3 linked regions of the Arabidopsis thaliana genome follow. The protein of the gene in region 1 purifies or fractionates together with the protein of each later gene. This does not show direct contact. Each region holds a gene or a part of one and is shown in the gene's direction. Other genes may lie near its edges.

Region 1 (6,904 bases):
GGATTGAAGCTGAAGGTGCAGTATGGTTTCTTATTAATCTTCTGAAGCAGCCAGAGATCTCACTAAACGTTACAGAACACGTATGACTTCATTTTCTTCTTCCTTTGTTCTTTGATATCTTTGTCTAGGCTATTATGGAATAACTGGACGTGAAATGGTATTTTGTGAACTATGTTATGCAGGTTCTGGATATAATTGCTCATATCTTAGATCCTAGCAAGGAAATGGAATCCAAGGTGTGTTTATTTTCCAAGGTTGATTATTATACATTAAATCTGCTTTCATTTGGCTTATGCTATTTCTCTACATGCTACAGTTTTATGAAGGACCGGTGAACGGATCAAAAGCAGACTCCAGGTCAGTCTTCTTCTCGATCTTCCTATCTTCAGCTCATTCATTCTTTTTGTTTTTTTAGAAGTATTAATTACTCAAAACATCGGATGGGAATGAACAGAAAGGAAGTTCTGGACGCTGCTGTTTTTTCTCGGCTCGTCCAGATTGCGAAAACAGCCTCTCCGAACCTGCTAAGAAACGCAATCTCTGTCATCGAGTTTGGTATAATCAGTAATCCAAACATGGACACGATCATCTCCAAGGATATCACAACTGTTCTTGATCTTGCTCTCCGGCAGAAAGTCCTGGAAGGTACAAAACTTATCTTTTGATATAACTCTGTTTGAATTTTATAACAGCATACAATACTTTTTATGGAAATGCAGAACCTGAGAATGAAGCTGAGGAGTTAGAGAAACATCTGCTTAAGCTAGAAGAAGCTGGTTTGACGATTTCCGCTGCTTCAAGGCTACTGACAAAACTTCTTGACTCCGAGTCCTTTCGCCAAACAATAGATACCGCGGTCTTCATAGAATTAGTAAGGAAGATCCTAAGATCAAGCCTCCCTCTACACTACAAAGACTGGGTTGCCGCTTGTCTTGTCAAACTCACCGCTCTCTCCTCTCCCTCTCAATCCCTCAACAATCCGATCAATCTTGAGGTAACTCTGTACAAAACGATCCCGAGCCTCGTGGAACAAATGAGCTTTTCCTCATCACCAGAAACGAAAGAAGCAGCGGTTTTAGAACTGAACAAGATAGTCTCCGAGGGAGTTCCAGAATCTATCCAAACACTTGCTTCACAAGGAGGTATCGAACCGCTGGTTAAGCTTCTTGAAGAAAGGAACGAGCGGTGCGTTGAAGCGAGTTTGTCAGTATTGTACAACTTAACCATGGACAGTGAGAACCACACAGCCATCATAAGAGCAGGAGCTGTACCAGTATTGAGACGTATCGTTATGTCTCAACGACCACAATGGGAGAAAGCTCTTCGGTTACTCAGAAATTTACCCGTTTAAGACATTTTTACAGATTATTGTCATGTAAAATTTTGGAATCAATTAGAATAATATAATGTATGATTTGTCATGTGAGACGAATATACGAAAAGTTAATTACATTAAGATAATCGGATTACGTAGCACGTATATTACTATTACCATATTCTAGAGATTACACATGATCAATCAAATATTTAATCTTTGAAATGTTACGCAAGCAAAAATGAATTTAAAATCTGAAAATACAATCCAACGGCTGAGATTTTCTTACTGTGTCAGTGAAAACGAGAGAAACGTTCTAGTTCACTCACTTGGTTACACGTGTCTTGGGATCGTTTAGCTTTTAAGCAAGCTTCTCTTTTGCGTAATTTATTTAAGAGCTGCTTGCTTTTATCATCATCACTCTCTCTGCGTCCAAATTTTGATCTTTGTTCTTCTCAAAGCGAATATGGTTTTCAAGGTTTCTACCGTATCCACATCTCCTATTGATGGCCAGAAACCAGGAACTTCTGGTCTTCGTAAGAAGGTTCGTTGATCGATCCTTGTCTTCTGAATCAAACGAAATCGAATTGTTGCATCTGGATCAGATCTGTTTAGATTTTCTTGAGTGTGATTTTGAAGTGAGATTGACCATCTGATTAGATTTGATCTATGCATTAATCTATATTGATTAGTGAATGATGACAAATTTTAAATTTCGTTTTCGTTATTTTATTTGGATCAAGTTCGAGATCACGTTTATTATATTTGATTTGAGTATATGTTTGGGACGCTTCTATGTGGTGAATGTTGATTTGATAGAGCTTGAAATTACGTTTTTTGAGTTGGTGTAGCGAAATGGAGACTATATGGATTGAATTTGTGTATAATTGAAACTAGGGAAGAGCCTAGTTGTTATTGTCAGATCTTCGTTTAACGTATATACGATCTGCAATGACGTTTATTGAGACTCACTGATCAGATCTGTTTCAGATATTTTGATAAAAGAAATTTGGGTTGATCATTTTATCCAATCAATCGAGTGTCGATTGTTTGTTCTACTCTCTGCAGATATCAAACTAGCATCTTTTTGTATCTCTGATTAGTATTTTTTTTTTTTTTTCTAACTGTGTAGGTGAAAGTGTTCAAGCAACCCAATTATCTAGAGAATTTTGTCCAAGCAACATTCAATGCTCTTACGGCGGAGAAAGTTAAAGGTGAGATTTTTTTCATACTCATCTTAGCTTCTCAGAGATATCTGCTCATTCGAAAAATTCATGAGTGTTTATTGTTCATATGTGCAGGTGCCACACTTGTGGTCTCTGGTGATGGTCGTTATTACTCAAAGGATGCTGTTCAGGTAAGGCCGATGATATTCCCTGTCTTCTGGATCTGTGTGAATGTAATTGGCGTATCCATAGAATTATGAATTAGTGCTCATGTATTTACAATGTTTTGGAGGGAACTCCTGTGTTAGGAAGGCCTGCTATTATCATCAATGCCTTGCTTATTTTTCTTTGTGTTCATCTCTAAAATTTGCATCGAAACCTCTATAGAGAGATTAGAGGTTTATAGAAGTTAAAGTTTTGTTTGACTTTGAAATCTCTGAAACTTAAGTTTGTTTGATCTACTCCTATTACAAATCCGGTTCATACTGTTACAGATGAAGATGTTTTACTGCTTTTCATACAATTTTATTTTGTATCTTAACAGATCATAATTAAGATGGCAGCAGCTAATGGTGTACGACGTGTGTGGGTTGGTAAAAACACTCTGTTATCAACTCCTGCTGTATCAGCTGTGATTCGTGAAAGATCAGGGGCTGATGTGAGATTTCTTTCTCTATGCTCATGGTTGTAGTGACATTTTGTTTTTTGTTTTTTTTGGTTATTTGCTATGTTTGTGCATGACGCAAAATGTAATGATGGTTTTGAGTTACTTAACCCCAGTCTCCGATTACAGGGATCGAAAGCAACTGGAGCATTTATCTTAACAGCAAGCCACAATCCTGGTGGCCCTACTGAGGTCCGTTCTGTTCTTGTTCCATCTCTACTGTGCTATCCTTTCATTTGAACTATTCGTTTTGTATCTCTTTATTTGTTCTTTTTTTAATAATAAGATATCTAGATGGATAATAAGACTAAGAGGTGATTCCATACCCCTTGTACAGGATTTTGGAATCAAATACAATATGGAAAATGGAGGACCTGCTCCTGAATCAATCACTGATAAAATTTACGAGAACACTAAGACAATCAAGGAGTACCCAATAGCACAAGATCTACCCAATGTATTCTTAAGAATCCTCTTATAGATTTCCATCATCTGTCTTTTGTTGAATCATAGTTGATCTGGTCTATCTGATGAATGCGACAGGTTGATATTTCTGCTGTTGGTGTAACCAGTTTTGAAGGACCTGAAGGAAAATTTGATGTTGAAGTTTTTGATCCCGCAGATGACTACGTTAAATTAATGAAGTGAGTGGTCCCTCAATTTAAAAGCATGATTCTGGAATCTGCTCCCTCTATGGTCTATGTGCAATTTTTATGATCTTTCTAAAGAAAAATTCTCGCTCCTTCAAGGTCAATCTTCGATTTTGAAGCCATCCGGAAATTGCTATCATCTCCAAAGTTTACATTCTGGTATGTAACTAACATTGGTTCCCAAACCTTTTCCATTTGAGTTAAGTTTTGTAATATATGTTCCATCACTGTAATGTTATATTTTACTTTGTTTTATGAAGCTATGATGCATTGCATGGAGTTGCTGGAGCCTATGCACATCGCATCTTTGTCGAAGAACTCGGTGCGCAAGAAAGCGCATTATTGAACTGCACTCCCAAGGTCTTATTTTTGTCTAACCAAGAAACGCTATTCCATAAATGATTACAAATACACCTCCAGGCTCAATATTTACCACAATACAACGATTTGCAGGAGGACTTTGGAGGAGGGCATCCGGATCCCAATTTGACCTATGCTAAGGAGCTTGTGGCACGAATGGGATTAGGTAAATCCGACACTGGAGGTGAACCTCCAGAGTTTGGCGCCGCTGCTGATGGTGATGCAGACCGTAACATGATCCTTGGTAAAAGGTAGCTTACTGACGTTTTCAAGAGAGATACATCCATGGAACTAGTATACCAAGTACTTTTAAACTTAAAGTATCTCTTCATTTGTAGGTTCTTTGTAACTCCTTCGGATTCAGTTGCCATAATTGCTGCAAATGCTATTGGTGCCATCCCGTACTTCAGCTCTGGTTTGAAAGGTGTTGCAAGGTATTATACACCTGGGCTCTTTTTTTACTTCTAGTAGAATTCTGTGTATACAACTCTTTTAATATATCTTTTTTGTGGATTATTTTGTAACTTCCACTTCTTGTTTTAGGAGCATGCCAACCTCAGCTGCTCTTGATGTCGTTGCAAAAAGCTTGAATTTGAAGTTCTTTGAGGTACATGTCACCGTGCAACTTCTATCCAGCTTCTTTTCTCCTAACTACATAATTTAATTTCATATCTCTATTAAATCACATATCAGGTTCCAACAGGCTGGAAGTTTTTTGGTAATCTGATGGATGCTGGGATGTGTTCTGTTTGTGGAGAAGAAAGTTTTGGAACTGGTCAGTTTCTATTTCCACACTCACACATCTGTTCATAACTTTAAAACAACCTATACAGTTCTGAAAGAAAGATCTTTCACAGGCTCGGATCATATCCGTGAGAAAGACGGAATATGGGCAGTTCTTGCATGGATGTCTATACTTGCTCACAAGAACAAGGGAAATATTGACGGTAACGCTAAACTGGTGTCAGTTGAAGACATTGTCCGCCAGCATTGGGCTACCTACGGTCGTCACTATTACACTCGTTACGACTATGAGGTAAAAGTTGCTAAGTTTGGTGATTGTAATTATACCATATTATATGGAAGAAACAGTACCCTTACTGACATCTCAAAATTTGTCTCTAAAGAATGTAGACGCAGGTAAAGCTAAGGAACTGATGGAGCATTTGGTCAAATTGCAATCTTCAATTCCTGAAGTTAACAAGTACACACACTTCCACTTCTCTGAAATCCCTTCCTTTTATACTTGAACACGTACTCATCAGTTTGGTACTCTGTTTTTCTAACCTCTTCTTCTCTCTTGATTTTATTCAGGATTGTGAAAGGAATTCGTTCGGACGTGGCAAGCGTCGCCAGTGCTGATGAATTCGAGTACAAAGATCCAGTTGATGGATCCATTTCGAAGCACCAGGGAATCCGTTACTTGTTTGAAGACGGATCACGACTTGTAAGTCATCTTTTTCTTCGGTATTTGAGCTTGGATACATTCCAGCTAAGAACAAAGTGATAGAAATCAAAACTAACTAATCCTCTCTTGTTATATCTGAAACCATATGAAGGTTTTCCGTCTCTCTGGAACTGGCTCAGAAGGAGCAACCATCCGGCTTTACATCGAACAGTACGAAAAGGATGCTTCAAAAACCGGCCGAGAATCCCAGGAAGCTTTGTCTCCTCTGGTCAGTTGCTTACTATAAAACCTCAAATCCATAAACTGTTTTCCGACTCATTACCATTTAGCTAATACCAAAGGGGTTTTCTCTAATCAAATACGTAATTGTTGATGTGTGATTCACAGGTTGACTTAGCTCTAAAGCTGTCGAAGATGGAAGAGTTCACAGGCCGATCAGCCCCCACCGTCATAACATAAGAAGGGTCAAGCTCAACGACTCAAACCATTCACCTTTTCGTCTATATGATGTTTTCTTCTTATACTATCCAAGTTACATTATAAGAATAATTAGTCTCAGGGAGAATTTGTATTTCTCATCAGAATTCTGAACAACCAAGACTGATTTCTTGAGTTGTTGTGAGGCTTATACTTGTACGGATTTGGCTTTCTCAGTTTTGTTCTCTCTTGTTTCCGTATTTTGGCGAGTATACTCTCTTAACATCTAAGTTCATTGATACCTCAAAGCATGCTACGACCATCCATTGACAAATCTCAGAGTTGTCTAATTACTTCAAATGGGTACTCATGAAAATGCACCCTCTCGTGTTTTGGTTTGATGTTGCATGGTTTTCAATGCATGATACCATAATATATGGACGAAAGCCATTTTTTATTACTTCTCTTTTGAAAAGTGGGAGAGACGTCGAACTTGAAAACGAAAGAGAATAAATGGAAGATTCAATATATGTATGTGTTGCTTTCGAAACGAATATAGAGAATTGGAACAAGGAAACCCAAAGATTTGGTTAGAGTCGTACACAACCCTAATTCTCCCACCGGACCTTCCATATCTAGAACGAAGCTTCATTCAACTTTCTACTCCACTTAAACCACACTATCCTTTATTTCGTGTAAGTATATCTTTCTTATACTCGATTTCTTTCTCTTTTGAGTTTTAGTATCAAATATTTGTATCATTGACCTATCAGTATATTTCAAATCCAAATTCAGACATAATGAGTTCTGTCAAGTATCAATAACATGTGACTAATTGAGTGGTCGTATAAATCATATTCATATACATAATATATGAACGTGAGAAAAAAAAGAATTTGATTATATAATCGTGCAATATATTTT
Region 2 (3,406 bases), on another chromosome or scaffold:
AATAATAAGTGAAGACTCAATAACACTAAAAATGCAGCGAATATTCTAGCTCTACAATGTTCTTCGGTATAATTAGAGTTAAAAATTTGTGGAGACTATATATAACTCATTTTGCCTCCCATGGGTCATAAGCAAGCAAAAAAAATGGAGCAAACTTTCATCATGTAGAAAACTTGTCTTTCTTTCTTTAATACATATTTGAAGGTCTAAAAGAGTTAGGCAAGATGTGTTAGCGACAGTGTTTTCGAATGTGATGAGAAATAATCTTTAAGAACAAGTGGTTATGTACAAATTTATGCGAATAGATGATAAAGTAGATACAACAAAATGATTGAGTAGCAAGAGATGGAGAAAGAGAACTTTGCTCTATTAAAAAATGTGTTTGAGATCATTTTATCAATTTTTGAAGTAATTGGCTACATCGAATAATTTATGTACTTATATATAGTTTCTATATCAATTCATATACTTGATATATATATTATAAAAAATAAAATCCTTAAAACTACAATTTTTGTTTAGAAAATGTGTTGTGTATATCTTCAACATGAGAGAATGCATCAAAGTGGTGTGATCAAACTCTTTTAATCCAAATCTAACAAATATATTAGGGTTTTGTGCCAACAACCCTCAAAAATATTTTTTTTTGCAACATAACCTTTCATATTAAATACATGTAGGTCAATACTCTGATATCAAAAGTCACCCACAGTATAACCACGTGCATAGATTTTATATAATCTTTGGGCGTGCTTAGATTTTGCAAACCGTATAAGTATGTATATAAGTTATTAAACTACGTCGTTTGAGCATCTTTTCGGAAAATAATACATTACTAGAGTGGATTGGAACCAATAACCTATAATACTAAATAATGCACTTAACCAATTGTGCTGCAAGATTTATTGTTGATATTGCATACCGATAAATATATATTGTGAACATTGCATTCTGGGTTTCTTCATCTTCTTAGGAAATTAGGTTTATTAGCAATCCGAAATCTCTATTCACGTGAACTAGTTTGTTTATCACCACTGATTTCATTATCTTTGGCCATCATCAACAATTTGTAGAGCAAGCAAGGGCTCATTCTCATCGCAATTAATCTATTCTTCATCGAGGAAAGCTCTGAGACGAGGCGTGGGTGGAAGAATTGAGCGTGTTCAGACTTGGGTTTGATCCGATCGTAACCGCTCGCGCTGTTTGTCAAGTTTTATGTTTACAATTCTGAAATAATGTTATTGTTGTATTCGATTCATGTTTAAACTATATATATTAATCGGTTTGTAAAGTTAACAAAATCACTCTGCTCAATTGGTTAAGTAATCTTTGAATAGTTCAATATGCCATGCGTTCAAATCTATTTTCCAACATTATTTTGCGTTTTTGTTTAAAGGCTCAAAACAACGTAGTTTTAATAACCTATATATAAACATACGGTTTGCAAAATCTATACACGTCTAAGAGATATACTATAGGTGACTTTTGAGATCGCAGACCTGCATTTATTTAACTTACATGATTGAGTTACAAAAAAAATTACTTAGAGAATTTTTTGGCACAAAATCCAATTTTTATAACTAATTGAACCTTAAAATAATAATAAGTAAAAGCCGTTTTTTTTGTTAAAAGAAGGCTCAAAACGACGTAATTTTAATAATCATGTACAGATTTATATGATTTGCAAAATCTATACACGTGCAAGAGTTATATTGCGAACGACTTTTAATATCACAGTATTAATCTACGTTTGTTTGACATAAATAATTAAGTTGCAAAAAAATATTATTTGTGTTTTTTTTATGAAGCCCAATATTTTATTTAATTGGGCCTAACATAATAATAAGGGAAGCCCAATAATTTGTAGCAAATATTCTAGGGTTAGAATATTCTTCAACAGAATTAGGGTTACATGTGCGGACTCTATATAAATCTTTTTTGCCTCCTACGAATCACAAGTAATAAGAAAACAATGGAGCAAACTTTTATTATGATCAAGCCTGACGGCGTCCAGAGAGGACTCGTAAGCTTCCCTTTTCTCTTAATACATACTTGTTGATCTTGATCTGATTTTGGTTTTGTATTCAGTTCTTTGGATTGTTTATACTTAAAAGATCGATATGTTTGTGTTTTTTTCTTTCAGATCGGTGAAGTCATCTGCAGGTTTGAGAAGAAGGGTTTCACTTTGAAAGGTAATGATTTCGATTACCAAACTTGATTTTACATTATAATTAGAGGTCTTAGATCTAATTAAAGTCACTTTGTTACTTGAATTGAGATTGTAATGACACTATAGTTGCTTATGGTTTGGTCTAGTTTCTGAACACTAATAGTTTAGTAAAACTTGTTTGACTTGACAAGTATTCTGTGTTGTCTAATAGATTTTAGATTATAGTATCTGTGCATAAGAACTTGTTATTATCTGGACCTTTTGTATTATGTAATTTGGTAGATAAGAGTGTTAGTCTTGTGTTTCTGATCAGTGTAGATTTGTATTTTATACAGGTCTGAAGTTGATCAGTGTAGAGAGATCTTTTGCTGAGAAGCACTACGAAGACTTATCTTCAAAGTCTTTCTTCAGTGGACTCGTTGACTACATTGTATCCGGCCCTGTTGTTGCTATGATCTGGGAAGGAAAGAATGTTGTCTTGACCGGAAGAAAGATCATTGGAGCTACCAACCCAGCAGCTTCTGAGCCTGGAACTATCCGTGGGGACTTTGCTATTGACATTGGCAGGAACGTGATCCATGGTAGTGACTCTGTCGAGAGTGCAAGAAAGGAGATTGCTTTGTGGTTCCCTGATGGACCTGTCAACTGGCAGAGCAGCGTTCACCCTTGGGTCTATGAAACTTGATGATCTGTTGCTTTTTCAGTAGTGTGTTTTCGACATTGCTTGTCTTTTGAACAAGACTTCTATATTTAAGTTGAGTTTGATTATCCTTCTCTACTTTGCTTGCTTGCTACATATGAATACAACAGCTACCAACTGGTGATATAAAATATATCAGTTATTGCAGATACTGAACCAAAATTGACTCTTACCAATGGTTAGATCAAACCTATTTAGTAAACACAAGATCATACTTCTTGTAACCTTGTGTTTCATGAACACATAATGTTGTCAATCTCTTAGATGCTCTCGAAAACTGCGACGTTCGACAAAGTGGCAAGCTTAAGTTGTCTAGTAAGCCATTGTCCAAGTTTGAGGCTGACACCAACTTGAAGGGGGCATACTAGGAGAGAGTGATAAGAAAAGTTTTGAGTATTTGTCTACTGAATTTCAAGCTTACTGATGAACATTGGCAAGCTAAATTTAAATAACTAAATTTTACAATTTTGGTTCTTCAAACTTTAGAGAAGAAAAGAATCCAACGGTCAGGTTCAACTCCAACCCGTCTGTTTCAA
Region 3 (4,869 bases), on another chromosome or scaffold:
TAGCATCTTGTGGCGCGCAAAGAGCAATCAGCACTTAGAGCAGTCTTAAAATGCATAGAAGAATACAAACTCGAGGAAGAATTCCCACCCGAGAATCTCAAGAAGAGGTTGGATCAGCTAGAGAAGACCAAAACCGAGAAGAGAAAACCAGCCGTGATTCCCGCCAACAAGAGAACCCGAGCAAGCTACAGCGGTCCAATGCCACCAGCCAAAGCAGGGCGTATCACAAACGCTTACGTCTCCTCTTTCCCACCGCCTCCACCAACATTCATCAGATCCCAAAGTCACTCACCTCAATACGGTGTACCAGCATACACCACATCCCCACCTACCATCTACAGCAACAGGAGCCCTCCATACCAATACTCACCCGAGGCGGTTCATGGTTCTTACCAAACCTCTCCGGTCAGTTATCCGACAGCATATGGTACCTACTGCAGTCCGGTGGCTGCTCCACCCCCTCCAGTTTACCATCCTCACCCGCACCACCACCACCATATTCAGCATGCTTACTACTGATTAGACAATGACAAAGGAAAAAAGAAGATGGTAAGTAACCAACCACTGATCTCTGGTGTCTACGTTTTGTCTCTACCTCGTTTTTGTTGTAATCTCTCTTTTTTTATATCGTATCATTTGTAGCTAACACTCTCACTCTTTCTGGTTCTGAATTAGTCTACCCTTGTGTGTTTATTAATCTAAATTATACATATCTATTCACTTTCCTAATGTTTCAATCAACGAATTTAGTTCAGTACTTAATAGATTCATCTTAAACCAGGAATGTTTCACTGTGATTATGTTATGTATCACTGTTTGTATTGGCTCATTGAAATCAAGATTTCGAAGTCTCATAGCAAGATTCGTTACAAAGTGTTCGTATTACACCAAAAAAAAGACTTCTTTAGTCTAAATCAAGAAGATGATTAGTCGTTGGCAGTGGCGAGCTGGAGAGACAAGAGTTCTTCCTCAGGGATCATCTTAATGTGACAATCAGAAGTTGGATACGAAGCACATAGAAGCGTGTAGCCACGTTCAACCACATCATCACTTAGCATCCCACCACTTTGATCCACCGTTCCGGTCACGAGTTTCGCTGGACAAGTCATACAAACACCGAGATTGCAGTCGTAGGGAACGTCAAGGCCAGAGTCAAGAGCCTTAGATAGAATCGTCTCGTCTGGTTCGACTTCCAATTCAGTCGTCTTTCCGTCGTGCTCTACCACCACTTTATATGCCCGAGCTATGATCCTTCCGGTGGTGAGAAAGTTCCGGCGGTTTGTTGTTGTTGAGAGTGTTGCGTTACGGAGTGGGAAGGAGAAGGAATTGGAGAGATAAGGTTTAGGGAGAGAGATTGTAGAAGTTTGAGTCGGGAGAGGAAGAGTCGCCATGAGAGACAGAGAGACGGAGACAAAAGAGTTTTTGTGTCAAGTGAGAGTGATGACTGTTTGTGGTGAATACGGAGATAAGGTTGATCATCGGTTGTAGATAGTGGTGGGACATAAAAACCGAAAACCGACTTAAACCGAAATTCATTAATGCATTAAACCGAATTAACCAAGATCTAATAAAATGAATTTTAAAATTTTAATTATATTCGTAATTAAGGGAAATATTTTTTCCAAAACAGTTTGAACAAATAAATTCAGTATTATTTTTCCATACTCAAAACTCCAAATCGGACTAACTGAAAAAAAGAAACCGAATGTTCAAACCCCAGTTATGGAAAATATTAACCGGACTTAATACGGATATGACCAAATCAGACCGAGAAGTAGTAATTCTGGTGACCAACCACCGCGTTTTTCTAAATTGATAGCGTGTGCCATGTGACTGACACCAAAGAGATCATATATCTCATCATTCGAAGATTTTATTCCATACAACCGATTTTCTCCATTTTCTTCAAAACGATTCGGGTCAAGGTTATTGACTTTCTCATTCAGGTATCATCTTCTTCCTCGTCCCATACTTTTTGATTCACTTGCTTATTCCTCTGCCGGTTTCGATTATATTTGTTTGGATCGGATAATTGTATGGGCTTAAGCTTATTTCGCTGTTAAATCTGTTGATTTGGTGTTAAGAGTGTTGTATAACTGGATTGGTGCTCATACATCTGGAGATTTATGTTTGATGATTTTGTATGATGTGTTTTTGGTTTGAGGATGATTTATTCCTTTGGTCTTACTTTTCTCTTTTTGTGAATTTAAGCAGTGAAGCTTGAATCATGGCCTCGAGAATTGCTAAAGATGTGACTGAAGTAAGGCTTTCAAGTTCTTTCACTGTTCATTTCACGAAGGAGTGAGCTTTGTTCCATGTTCATGTATTGATTGATTCTATTTGGCAGTTGATTGGGAACACTCCATTGGTGTATTTGAACAATGTTGCTGAAGGATGTGTTGGTCGTGTTGCTGCTAAGCTTGAGATGATGGAACCGTGCTCTAGCGTCAAAGACAGGTTTCTTCTCTAGTCCAGAAACTATGTGTTGTTTCTCGCTTCGAGTTTCGGTTTTGTGAAGACCTTGTACTTTGTTTATTTCTGCAGGATTGGTTTTAGCATGATTTCTGATGCAGAAAAGAAGGGTCTTATCAAACCAGGAGAGGTCAGTTTCGATTATCTGAATCTTCAAACCACTATTTTGTTTTTGTTTTCATTGTTTCTGACTTTTTGTTTGTTCTTTAGAGTGTGCTGATTGAGCCAACAAGTGGAAACACTGGAGTTGGGTTAGCATTCACGGCAGCTGCCAAAGGCTACAAGCTTATTATTACAATGCCAGCTTCTATGAGTACTGAGAGAAGAATCATTCTCTTAGCTTTTGGAGTTGAGTTGGTTTTAACTGACCCAGCTAAGGGCATGAAAGGAGCTATCGCAAAGGCGGAAGAGATTTTGGCGAAAACACCCAATGGTTACATGCTTCAGCAGTTTGAGAACCCTGCCAACCCTAAGGTATGCTTATTATTTACTATTGCTTTAGTGTATCTGTTTTTGTCTGTTTTTGAACCATATTAAGTCGATGGAATTTCACTGTCAAATGCAGATCCACTATGAGACTACGGGACCTGAGATATGGAAAGGCACTGGTGGCAAAATCGATGGCTTTGTTTCTGGGATTGGTACTGGTGGTACCATTACAGGTGCTGGGAAGTATCTTAAAGAACAGAACGCAAACGTCAAGGTGAGAGCTCCATCTTTTCGAACAACTGGCTTTGTTATCTAAGTGACTAAGTGGTGTGTCTTTGCACGGTTTCTCATTTTGTTTCCTCTTCTGTTAGCTGTATGGAGTGGAGCCAGTTGAAAGTGCTATTCTATCCGGTGGGAAGCCAGGTGATTTTGGTTCCCCCTGCGTTTATTACGATAACCATGCATGCATGTTCCTCGTTTCTCGGTTTGCCTCATGTCTTATTTTTTATCCTCGGAGTTTCCTAACACATGATGTTTGCTGAAAATATCAAGGTCCTCACAAGATTCAAGGGATAGGAGCTGGTTTTATACCAAGTGTATTGAATGTTGATCTTATTGACGAAGTTGTTCAGGTAAGACTGCTTTTCGATATTATCGACTGATAGCAAAACACAATTGAATGCAAGAGAGCTTCATTTCTTACTTGACTCTCTCCATTTTCCTGTAACGCTTTCAACAGGTTTCAAGTGATGAATCCATTGACATGGCAAGGCAGCTTGCTCTTAAAGAAGGTCTTCTTGTAAGTGTTTCACATTTCACAACAAAAAGCTATCTCCATCAGAATTACAACTTCGTTCTGTTTCTAAAAACAAAAGCTATACTGTAGGTGGGAATATCATCCGGTGCAGCAGCTGCTGCAGCAATTAAACTTGCACAGAGGCCAGAAAACGCTGGGAAGCTATTTGTGGTAAGCTCTTTGATTCTATCATCACCCCAAAGCCAATAAGCTCTGATTACATAACCCGGATTTCTTTCTGATTCTGATGTAAACGAAATCAACTGAATTATTTTACAGGCGATATTCCCGAGTTTCGGGGAGAGGTATCTATCAACGGTACTTTTCGATGCGACAAGGAAAGAAGCGGAAGCCATGACCTTCGAGGCTTGAACATTCTCCATTTCTTCTTAAGAGACGCCAAAATAAAAGAGATGTTCAGTTTCTCCTATAGAGACTCTTCATCTTTAGTTACATTGCGTCTTTGCTTCCATCTGTATCTTCTCTTGTGTGCCAATAAAAGTCAAACTAGATTTTCTCTGTTTCTTTTGTGAACCACTTGCTTGTTAATGAAGTTTAAATTTGCTATGTAACTTTGTTCATAAGTATCATACTGTTTCATGATCAAAACTAAACCAACATAACCCAAGTCAATATTTCAGGCTAAATATAAGATTAGGATAAGAAGAAGGTAATGCTCAAAAGGAGTGATTCCGATAATTCTCTTTATCATCATCTACACAAATCAACAATGTTTCGATTTCTCATTGCAATCACTAAAAATTGTACACACAAATTTTACCATTTTCAATTCACAGGATCAGCTGAAGAAGTCTTGAACACCTCTTCCGATGAACACTCGATCAGAGAGTTCAGCCAAAAGGAAATTGACAGTGAGCAAGACGACGCTAGAGCCAGCGATAACACCGAGCACGACGCCGGTAGTTCCGAGAACTTTCTGAAACGCCGGCCACTCAATCTCCTTCACTTCCTCCGCAACTCCACTAAGAAACTCGTTCTTCCCTTTCTCTTCCTCCGCCGTTTTCCTCTGCTCCATCGCTGCTTTTATCTCTGCTCCTATCGCGCTAATCTCCACTTCCTTATCTTCTCCGCTTCCACTCTCTTCCGCCGGTGACGGAGTCGCTTCTGATTCCGATTCAGATCCAGCTGTATCTCGTCTCTGTTCTATAGCC

The links. The genes of interacting proteins can lie anywhere in the genome.
Region 2: the proteins of PGM3 (region 1) and NDPK1 fractionate together in Arabidopsis thaliana (co-fractionation; one large-scale study listed by BioGRID). This does not show direct contact.
Region 3: the proteins of PGM3 (region 1) and OASA1 fractionate together in Arabidopsis thaliana (co-fractionation; one large-scale study listed by BioGRID). This does not show direct contact.

The regions. Positions count from the first base shown.
Region 1 is NC_003070.9:8,218,165-8,225,068, forward strand, and holds PGM3 (Phosphoglucomutase/phosphomannomutase family protein), read left to right. Parts: upstream 1-1,643; 5' UTR 1,644-1,781; coding exon 1,782-1,859; intron 1,860-2,447; coding exon 2,448-2,529; intron 2,530-2,616; coding exon 2,617-2,672; intron 2,673-3,025; coding exon 3,026-3,139; intron 3,140-3,274; coding exon 3,275-3,337; intron 3,338-3,482; coding exon 3,483-3,602; intron 3,603-3,688; coding exon 3,689-3,789; intron 3,790-3,894; coding exon 3,895-3,954; intron 3,955-4,055; coding exon 4,056-4,155; intron 4,156-4,248; coding exon 4,249-4,406; intron 4,407-4,493; coding exon 4,494-4,589; intron 4,590-4,698; coding exon 4,699-4,762; intron 4,763-4,848; coding exon 4,849-4,930; intron 4,931-5,012; coding exon 5,013-5,191; intron 5,192-5,282; coding exon 5,283-5,359; intron 5,360-5,469; coding exon 5,470-5,602; intron 5,603-5,714; coding exon 5,715-5,831; intron 5,832-5,950; coding exon 5,951-6,022; 3' UTR 6,023-6,383; downstream 6,384-6,904. Other genes in the region: AT1G23180 (ARM repeat superfamily protein), read left to right, coding at 1-80, 183-236, 317-357, 455-645, 720-1,351. UniProt on the Arabidopsis thaliana protein: Catalyzes the reversible isomerization of alpha-D-glucose 1-phosphate to alpha-D-glucose 6-phosphate. The mechanism proceeds via the intermediate compound alpha-D-glucose 1,6-bisphosphate.
Region 2 is NC_003075.7:5,921,512-5,924,917, forward strand, and holds NDPK1 (nucleoside diphosphate kinase), read left to right. Parts: upstream 1-1,972; coding exon 1,973-2,023; intron 2,024-2,143; coding exon 2,144-2,192; intron 2,193-2,505; coding exon 2,506-2,855; downstream 2,856-3,406. UniProt on the Arabidopsis thaliana protein: Major role in the synthesis of nucleoside triphosphates other than ATP. The ATP gamma phosphate is transferred to the NDP beta phosphate via a ping-pong mechanism, using a phosphorylated active-site intermediate.
Region 3 is NC_003075.7:8,517,409-8,522,277, reverse strand, and holds OASA1 (O-acetylserine (thiol) lyase (OAS-TL)), read left to right. Parts: upstream 1-1,681; 5' UTR 1,682-1,946; exon of another isoform or gene 1,947-2,141; intron 2,142-2,211; exon of another isoform or gene 2,212-2,214; 5' UTR 2,215-2,227; coding exon 2,228-2,260; intron 2,261-2,347; coding exon 2,348-2,457; intron 2,458-2,544; coding exon 2,545-2,602; intron 2,603-2,682; coding exon 2,683-2,946; intron 2,947-3,037; coding exon 3,038-3,175; intron 3,176-3,272; coding exon 3,273-3,324; intron 3,325-3,453; coding exon 3,454-3,533; intron 3,534-3,640; coding exon 3,641-3,700; intron 3,701-3,787; coding exon 3,788-3,868; intron 3,869-3,976; coding exon 3,977-4,069; 3' UTR 4,070-4,318; downstream 4,319-4,869. Other genes in the region: AT4G14900 (FRIGIDA-like protein), read left to right, coding at 4-519; FdC1 (2Fe-2S ferredoxin-like superfamily protein), read right to left, coding at 927-1,391; SECE1 (secE/sec61-gamma protein transport protein), read right to left, coding at 4,497-4,869. UniProt on the Arabidopsis thaliana protein: Acts as a major cysteine synthase, probably involved in maintaining organic sulfur level.